Arabidopsis thaliana: one gene and its partner. The protein of the gene in region 2 interacts with the protein of the main gene of each other region in a pairwise test. Each region holds a gene or a part of one and is shown on either strand. Other genes may lie near its edges.

Region 1 (6,048 bases), on a different chromosome or scaffold from region 2:
GAATAATATAGCCCTACGTGAGAAAAGGTAAAAGCATCATCAGGTGATTATTCCCACTTCCAAAGAAGATTACGTAAAATTCCAATCCCTATTTCCTAGGTTTCCTTAATCTATTTATTTTTCAAAACACCAAATTAAGTTTTTTTTAGCGCATTACGCAATACTTTAATAAACCAAAAAAGCATAGTTAAAGTAAAAAATTGTTTCCAAGTGAACTAGTTTTTGCTACAACCAAAATCAAAAATAGACCCACGTCTTAGAATAAACAAGTGTTCGTATATTTGAGAGCGTGTACACCCTTTGAAGAATTTTTTTCTTATTGAGAGATGTTGATTCACCACCAATAATCAAATCCGATGAAGTAATTTAATTTCACAATGACAAATTGACAACTTGGAAAACTTTTCGTGTCCATAATCTGCAAGGAAACAACATAAAACCCCTCAAAGGGCCTCCCGGCCCATACAAAATTCCCGAACCTAACCTTTAAAGTAATAAGCATTACACAACAATGAGTGATTAGCCTGGCCCGTATAAAGTTGCCGAATCTAACCTTTAGATTACATGCTGCATCACACAAGTAACAACGATGGTTCATCATGTTTGATTTAACTTACAACTTTAGAATTTTTTTCTCTCTTTATTCGGGACCACTTCGATATTGTTAGAACAAATTTGTTCTACAAGGATGTTTCAAAGAAATTCAGATTGTATTCAATTCACAGTTAGTTTAGATGATCAGAGAAAAAGATTTGAAAGTCTAAACTAACCGAGTTCTGTTTTTGTACCGGTTTCTCAACGTTGAGTTTGGTTTTTTACTGGTTTCTTACTTACCGGCTGCATCAGACAGACCGGACAAGACTCAGGCCATACTAGTATGTATAGTTATCTCACATTTCAAACTAGAACCAGAATTCAAACTTCCTCAGTTTAGAATGGTTATCTCCTGAATCAAACCACATTTTGCCGAACAAAATCTGATTCACATGTCTGCAACGGACCAGAGATAAGCCTCTATTTCCGTTGCTTTCCTCTCATTGGTCTTCTTAATCAGATCCTTCTCAGTTCCTGAACCAATACACCAAAGATAAAACAGATCAGAGAAATAATCTTCTAAAGGAATCTTTGAATGTGAATAATGAAAAGAAATGTATTAGAGGAGCTTACCGTTACTACGGTCGACCCCATCCCAGTGTCTACCCGGTTTAATCCCATACCGGTTTGATGCAGCTTCCAACCGTCTCGTCAACCAACTATGTTTAGGCACACTTTGTGGTATAATGAACCCAGATTTTTTCATCTCCTCATCGTCTCCTAGATCCACAAGAGTTGTCTCGTACTTTCTTTTCTGCGATATAAAAACTCGGCAATACGTTAGGATAATGCTGTTATGACAAGATAATCATGGTTATTCATAATTTTGTCGTAAGCAGAAGTATTTTCAATACCTTGACCAAATGAGCCATTGGATCTCCAAATCTAACTCTTTCCTTCATCATTTGATCAAGCTCCGGATCATCCCTGAAACAACAGAGATAAACACTGTGAGAATAAATAACCAAGTAATAACAGCTCAAACTCGAGCTCAAGAAGAAGAATAAATAAAGTACCTTGTCCGAGCAAATGGCTTATCCTTCTCAAGCTCAAGTTCTTGTAGTCTAGCTTCAGCTTCACGCTTCTGAGCTAAACCTTTGCCCCATTCCAGTTTTATCTCCTACAAGAATTAGACAATACATTCGTAACTCTAATTTTCTCAGATTCAGATTATATACATATTTTGAGGAGTATAGAGTTAATGACACACAGTACCTTTGGCTTCTCTATCACTTTTTTTTGCTTCGATTTAAGATATTCCTCCTTTGATATACGCTTCCCTGCAATATCAATAAGTATCTGGGTGTGAGACATGAGATTATGCATTCTTACTGCAACTTATAACGACTAGGGACCTATAGTCCTCACCTGTGATCTTGTCACGGAACACTGCTTCTGCGTTTTGACCAGTTAGCTCGGAATCCATATTTTTAAACCTGTAGAAGAGTATAATTTGTCAGAAAGATGGTAGCCTAAAAACATGCAATCGCGAATCTCAAATCATCGTTACTGAAGACTGGTCTCTTTATGAATTCCCTATTTAAAGACACAGAAGACAAAATCTTAGAAACTTAGGAAGTAGGCAACATGAAACTTCAAGGAAATAGGAAACTACTCTTGGCCCAATACTACTGAAACTGAAACAAACCTGATGCCTATAACTAAAATGCAGTAACAGATTCTAAAAAGCTTAGTCTACTTTCTGATAATTACCTCAATTTTTCATCCTCCTTTTTCTTTCGATATTCACTTCCAATGTCTTTGCCACTAATCAATCCGGTCTTTCGTTGCTCCTTGCTTATTTGAGGAGGTGATGAATCTCTGCGTGGTCTCCTTGGGGGAGAGCTATCAAAATTGGAACTCCTGGACACATTTTCAGAAGAACGTCGCAAATCTGCGGCTTTTCTTTGAGGCGAAAGATCTGAGTCTTGAGAATCCTTCATATTTATATTCCGGCCGGGTGGAGATAAATCAGCATTCGAGCCAAAAGATTTTGAAGACCTTCTAGCTGGTTCAGGTGATGGAGAATGATATCTTCTTCTCCGTGGAGGAGATAGATCATTGCTCTTCTTTTTTACATCTGAGACAGGTGAACCATGTAAATCTCTTTTCCTGCGAGGCGGAGATAAATCATCGTCCAACTCAACAGAATCTGAACGCTTTCTGCTAGATTCACGCGATGGAGAATGAACATGTCTCCTACGAGGAGGAGATAGATCTTCACTCAGATATTTAGCTTCAGGTTCTGGTGAAGGCGAATCATTCCTGGCTTTTCTTTTGCGAGGTGGTGACATATCTGAATCCAAACTAACAGGCTTGGTATGTTTTCTGTTAGGTTCAGGTGAAGGCGAATTGTGACGTTTTCTCCGTCGTGGTGGTGACATATCTGTATCAACTCTATCCGCAACCGACCGTCTAGGCCCAGGCTCAGGAGAGGGCGAGTCATTACGAGTCCTTTGTCTACGTGGAGGAGAAATATTAGATTGTGTGTCTTCACGGTTTAGAGGTAACGTTACCCACCCACTTCCATCCTCAGCAATGGCATTATGAGCACGCCTTGCCTTAATTTCCTCCAACCTCCTCATTCGCTTAACTTCAATGTCTTCATCAACCAGAGGTGTTTCCTCTATACGAAACAAATGAAAAGAGAACACAATATGTAAATGTGAACTGTTATTAGATCAGGGAAGTGAAAGCATTACAGATGCACAAGTCCAAGAAACAAGAAACAGTCAAGCAATTTACCTGCTGAATCATCTTCGTTTTCGTCCTCTTCAGGATCAACCTGCTTTTGCCAAACTGGATCTTCGTCGACAACTAAAACACCTCTTGGTTCAGGTTTAGATGGCTTCTTCTGCTTCTTCTTCTTCTTCTTCTTCTCTACAACATCACTACTTTCATACTTCTTCAAGTAATCTTTTAAAGATTGGTTTCCTGCCATCTTTGAGAATTTGGAGCCTAAATACCAATGATAAACTTGAAAAATTCAGTCAAACATAACATCTAGACGAAGATATATTCAATTCAGGAACCAGAGGTTCAAGCAGGAATTAATGGCAATGCCACCGTTCATCATCTTAAGAGACCGAATTATAGATATAGCTTTCAAAACCAAATCTGGAATCAACAATTAGTTGCTAAACTCAAATTAGCATCAATCAAGCCCTACGAAAATGAGACTGAATCGAGAATAACAAAAGAATGCTTAGTCTTATATCGTCATCAAATCCACAAATTTGCATCTACTCAAAAGCGATTCCAGAAAACTAGAAAGCTAAACGAAGACAAGCATACATTCATAGAATCGTAAAATTACTAACCTGATCGGAAAATTAACGCCGGAGATGACCGGGAAAATATCAGTAACCCAACGCGAATAGTTGAAAATGATAACTCGGAGAGCTAGCTCTTCTAGGGTTTTTGGATCTCCTGGAGACGAAGAATAGAGAAAAACTTAAGTTATGGCGGAATTTGAAATTTCAAGCAATTAATAGGGATTGCTTTTGTAATTCCTAATATTAAGACATAAATAGGGGCATTTTAGTATTTGCACACATTGCTGAGTCGGTCTTTAAAAAGCCCTTCACTATCACATTGACTTCAGAACAATTAGGGTTAATCTCTTCCGTTGCTTTTTTTTTTCAATCCGCCGCCACTTTTCGTTTCTCGTAGCGTTAAAATGGCGGTATCGTACAATGCATTAGCTCAGTCTTTAGCGAGAAGTAGCTGCTTCATCCCCAAACCTTATTCCTTTAGAGATACTAAGCTGAGAAGCAGATCCAATGTCGTATTCGCGTGCAATGATAATAAGAACATTGCTCTTCAAGCTAAGGTAAACATCTTCTGTGTAATCTTAACTTATAGATAGAATGTTCTGCAATGGAATCGTGTTAAGTTTAATTGTTATCTAAGAACGATTAGAATTTAGATTGAATATTGAACCAGACATTGTCAGGTGCTTACTCTTTGACATATGAGTAATTACTGTTACATGTCGGGTAGAGAAAAAAGAGAGAAGGAAAAGCTTTTTAACCTGAGCTTCATTTTTAGAGTTTGGATTTCTTTTTTAAGATGCTCATCGTTTGCTTGGTCATCTGCATTTGGTGATGCCTGAGCTACATCTGTTCATCACATTTTATTAAAGCATTTAAGTATATTGTTATGCCAAAAGTAATTTAGTTCTATGAACATTGTCTGGAGTAAATTGTATATGTAAAGTTTGGATTTTTGCCAGAGATGGTCAGGTTCCTACCCTTTGACATGTGGGTTTGGACTGTTACATCTCTGGTATAGAAAAGAGAGAGAAGGAAAGGCTTTTTGATGGTTTCCATCTTTAGGTTTGGATGTCTCTTTCAAGGTGCTCATCGTTTGCTTGGTCATCTTTGTTACGTGATGACTTGGCTCCATTTGTTCATCACAGTTGATATCTTTTCAAGGAAATATGTATTGTCTTGCGCTCTCAGAGTTGGATTAATTCATCACTGAATTACTGTGATGCCTTCCGAAGTAACTTATGTTTTAATTTAGAGAAAAGGAGGTTCATGTAAGATGTGTCATTTGTTAATCTATTTTAGTTACGTCATGTACAATTGAGATTTGGCCAGAGATGGTCAGGTTCCTACTCTTTGACAAATGAGTTTGAACTGTTACATCTCTGGTAAAGAAAAAAGAGAGAAGGAAAGGCTTTTTGATGGTTTCCATCTTTTGGTCTGGAGTTTTCTCTAAAGGTGTACATCGTTTGCTTGGTCATCTGAATCTGTGATGGCATGGGCTACATCTGTCCTCCACAACCTGAATAATCTTCATTGAGACATTTCTCTTTTGGCTTTAATATCTAGTCCGATAATGCATTTACTGTTTATACTATTAGAGAGGGGCTTGTTTGATTGAAATGACAATGTTTTTTTCTGTGTTGGTAGTGTTGCCATTGTGCCTTTTATTACTGTCTCAATAAGCAATGTATATGCGGCTGTTGTGTTCCCTGGTAGCTAATCATGGTTTCTGTTGTTTTCTTGTGTTAGGTAGATAACTTGTTGGACCGCATTAAATGGGATGACAAAGGATTAGCTGTGGCAATAGCACAAAACGTTGATACGGGAGCAGTATTGATGCAAGGCTTTGTTAATAGGGAGGCCCTCTCCACAACCATCAGTTCTCGGAAAGCTACATTCTTTAGTCGATCAAGATCTACCTTATGGACTAAGGGAGAGACATCCAATAACTTCATCAATATTCTTGATGTGTATGTTGATTGTGATCGTGATTCGGTATGTTTGCGTGGACCACAGATATGAATCAATGCAGTGTTATTCTTCATAAACTCATTGGTCTCTATTTTCTCAGATTATTTACCTTGGAACACCTGATGGACCTACCTGTCACACAGGGGAAGAGACTTGTTACTACACATCGGTTTTTGATCAATTAAACAATGATGAGGTTTGCCTTTGTTGA
Region 2 (3,975 bases):
AACATGAGGACATGCAACACATGGAGCCTCTCTCCAAGCTTCTTCTCTTCCCAATAACAGAATCTTGTGCTCCATTCTCAAATGAAAACGATCAATTGCGAGCACTTTGTATTGATCTTCAATAGAATCGTACCCAACAAAATAATTGGGGCATGTAAAAAGTTTTGGATCTTCTTTGTACTTGAGTTGGGGAAAAAACTGAAGCTGCCTTGTGCTAGGGTTACAAATCCCCATACTTAGTCTACTTATGCAGATCAAGCCCCGAACCGCATTATACACTAGTTTCCCATTAATTTTAAAGACGTTCAGATCTTTATAAGGTACACAACATGAAGAAGAGGAAGAGGAAGAGGAAGATACGTATGGGTTAGGCGACGAGACTAACATAAGCTTTTTACCGTGAAAGTCCTGAAAAGCAATGAGAAGACGTGGAGGAGCTGAGGAAGATGTAATGTTCAAGTGCTGTTTTTTGAAATATTGGCTGGTGGTGATAGAGGACCAAAGCTTGGAGGCGCACCGGAATCTCAATAAAGACTTCACAGGCAATCTTAAAAGTGTATAGATCTGAAGATCGAGAGGAATGTAAATCGGTGCCGGATAGAGGATCGAGTTTCTTCGCTTTAACCTTTTTCGCTTCCCTTTTCTTAGCCAAAAATTTCTTTTGGTGGATGCACAATAGCCGTAAACACAACTTCATTGTCTTCTTCAAACGTTTCAAAGGCTATTCTAGCGAAACCTAACTTAACCTAATTGGAGTTTTAGAATTTTTCTTTATATATCAAAATTGAACATATTCGCTAGGCCTGGCCATAATAACCGGAACCAAATACCCGAACCGAAAAACCCGAAAAATAATCGAACTGAACCCGAACTCAATTTTAGAATTACCTGAATGGATCCTACACTTCACTACCCGAAAAAACCCGAACCGAACCCGGACCTAATCTAATACCCGTAGATACCCGAATACAAATATAAACCTAAAAATATTAGTTATATATATATTTGTAATACCTCAAACACCAAAAATTAAAATTATAAATCCGAATATACTAGATATTTTTAGTAATTCATATACATTTAGATATATTTGGGATAAAAGTAACCAATGTTATAGTTTTTTTTAGATAATTTAAGTATTTTTGTTACATTTGGTTATATTTGGATAAAAAGTAACCAATATATTTACGGGTAATCGGGTATTTCGGATAGATTTGGGTATATATGAGAAAAAACCCGAACCTAACCCGAACCTGAAAATATTTTGGATATTTTTGGTCATTTTTACATTTTTACTAAAATAACCGAACCGACCCGAATCGAAACCGAACCGAAATTTAAGAATACCCGAATGGTTCTCAATCTCCTACCCAAATAGATCCGATACCCGAAAAAAGAACCGAATCTGAACGGGTATCCGAAAAAAAGAACTGAACCCGAACGGATACCCGAATTCACGTAGAAGATGTAAAAATAATATTAGACATTTATTCTAGAAAGGGAATAGAATAAATGGGCCTCAATCCGGGTCGGTTAATCTAATTAGGAAACGGGTCATTAAAACCCGACCCGCTCAGGCTAATCTCTCATTTCCTAGTTTTAGGGTTCCTCCCGGCAACGAACGCAGAGAAATTTGAAAAGATGAATCCATTGACGCAGGTGAAGAATCTACAGAAGATAAACGCTAGGGAATCAGATTTAGGAATATCTGATGAAGCTTCATGGCACGCTAAGTACAAAAACTCTGCATATGTCTACGTCGGAGGCATACCGTTCGATCTCACCGAAGGTGATCTTCTCGCCGTCTTCTCTCAGTAAGTGTTGTGTTTCGTTTCTAAAGTTTCAATTTTTTTAATGGGTTTATAGGTTTAATGTCTTTTTGTTTTGTGGAATTGCAGATATGGTGAAATTGTTGATGTCAATCTTATTCGAGACAAGGGAACGGGTAAATCTAAAGGTTTTGCTTTTCTTGCTTATGAAGATCAGAGAAGTACCATTCTTGCTGTTGGTTAGTGAAACTGACTCTTGTACATGTGAAATTTACTTTTTTTTTAGGTGTTAGGATTTGTAATTGGGTTCTGTTTTTGGTGATTGTAGATAATCTGAATGGAGCTCTTGTGTTGGGACGGACCATTAAGGTGGACCATTGTGGGGCATACAAAAAGCACGAAGAGGAGGATGAAGAGACGCGACGCCAGAATAGAGAGGCTCGTGGTGTATGCAGAGCTTTTCAGAGAGGAGAGTGTACTCGTGGTGATTCTTGCAAATTTTCCCACGATGAAAAAGTAAGTAAGCGTGATTTTGTACTTTATTCTTTTCAACAGATGATTTTGATGAATGCTTGATAGAAGTTAACCCTTTTTTTTTATGGACAGAGAGCTGCAAATACTGGTTGGGGTCATGAAGAGGATAGAAGTTCCAAGTGGGATCATGACAAGAATAGAGAGGGTCGTGGTGTTTGCAGAGCTTTTCAGAGAGGAGAGTGTACTCGTGGTGATTCTTGTAAATTTTCACATGATGAAAAAGTATGTAAGCGAGTAATCTATTCTTTCGAGAGATGATTTTGAATAAATACTTGATAGAAGTTATAACATACTGTTTATCTCATTTATTTTCTTGAAACCTTTTTTAATGGACAGAGAGCTGCAACTACTGGTTGGGGTCATGAAGAGGATAGAAGTTCCAAGTGGGATCAAGACAAGTTAAATGGTGCTAAAAAGGGTGGTACAAGTTTTGGCAATCGAGGAGATTTCAAACCTGATGTGGAAGAGAAAAGTTACAGAGGAAGGGGTGATGGAGATGCCTCGTATGGCCGCCCTAAAGAGAGAGAAAGAGTGGATAGGGAGGATATGGGGCCAAGGTCAAGAGATGCTTATGATATGAAGGAACAAAAGAGATCAGGACGGTATGATAATGCGTATTCTAGAAGGCACAATGATGAAATTGATTATGTAAGGGAGGACAAGGGATCCAGAGCACAAGATTGGGAGAAAAGGAAGGCAGAATCTAGAAGAGATCGTAACGACAGGGAGGAAAAAGATAGGGATTCATTAAGAAGGGAAGATCGCCGTCGTTAAAGGGGTAGATAGTGGTATGCATACTCAATGGTTTTCAGTTTTAGCTAGTGTCTGTGGAAATGACCTTTGTTCTTTCCAAGAGAGTTACCTGTGGTTATATAAACTGCTTCATTCTGTAACGGGGATTCTATGTTTGTTGTGACACCTGAGACTTGTTGATTTTTCCGTTTGGAATGAAAGAAGTCGTTATATCCTTTTTCGTTTATTTACAGAATTTTTGCTATCTCATTATACCTTTTGTTGTTAGTGGCTGTGTTGACCTGTGGTTACAGACTCAGGTTCTACAGGGATGAGTGACTCTGGCTCTCCTTGTACGTGTCATATGGATGGATTAGTGCAACGCTTGCTGTTCTTGTCATATGCAAATTAAAGAGGTAAACTGTAAATATTTTCCTTTCAATTCCTAATGACTTTGTCTATAAAAAACTGAACAAAGAATTGTGTATAAATTACTGTATCATATAGTGAGATTTGAATTTTTCTTCTGCTAGATATGAATATGATTAAGATACTCTCGAATTATTTATTTTATTGTATTTTGCTGAGAAATATATAGAAGCAAGTTGGTGTATATCGAAATCGTTGATGTCATGGTCACTGCTAAGAACTTGACAAACATCCCTCAGCTACATTTTTATAAGAATGGTCGTTGCTATTAGTGTTAATTAATCAAGTTTTCCTTGGTAAAACTAAAGTATATAGTATTTGATAAGCGTCTGATAGTTGACTTGGGCGAAATGAAGCAGTGAATAATGAGGCAACATGAGAATAAGTCATTGCTCTATTGGACTTTGACCCTAATAGTCAACGAGGATTGAGAATAATCTGCATACCGCAGGCTGCAAGCCCCGTGGTTTTGGAATATCATTACTTTGTTTGCGAGTTTCTAAAAGGCTAC

Evidence for each region. Proteins that work in one complex are often made in the same cells at the same time.
Region 1: the proteins of AT3G47120 (region 2) and AT1G31870 interact in a two-hybrid assay, tested with the Arabidopsis thaliana proteins (one large-scale study listed by BioGRID).

What each region holds. Positions count from the first base shown.
Region 1 is NC_003070.9:11,434,756-11,440,803, reverse strand, and holds AT1G31870 (pre-mRNA-splicing factor of RES complex protein), read right to left. Parts: upstream 4,086-6,048; 5' UTR 3,915-4,085; intron 3,553-3,914; exon of another isoform or gene 3,536-3,552; coding exon 3,340-3,535; intron 3,221-3,339; coding exon 2,308-3,220; intron 2,031-2,307; coding exon 1,963-2,030; intron 1,875-1,962; coding exon 1,810-1,874; intron 1,715-1,809; coding exon 1,611-1,714; intron 1,522-1,610; coding exon 1,449-1,521; intron 1,349-1,448; coding exon 1,168-1,348; intron 1,069-1,167; coding exon 983-1,068; 3' UTR 529-982; downstream 1-528. Other genes in the region: AT-IE (histidine biosynthesis bifunctional protein (HISIE)), read left to right, coding at 4,274-4,426, 5,616-5,861, 5,938-6,033.
Region 2 is NC_003074.8:17,350,436-17,354,410, reverse strand, and holds AT3G47120 (RNA recognition motif (RRM)-containing protein), read left to right. Parts: upstream 1-1,572; 5' UTR 1,573-1,641; coding exon 1,642-1,814; intron 1,815-1,898; coding exon 1,899-2,008; intron 2,009-2,097; coding exon 2,098-2,285; intron 2,286-2,375; coding exon 2,376-2,525; intron 2,526-2,639; coding exon 2,640-3,077; 3' UTR 3,078-3,450; downstream 3,451-3,975. Other genes in the region: AT3G47130 (F-box associated ubiquitination effector family protein), read right to left, coding at 1-462, 518-697.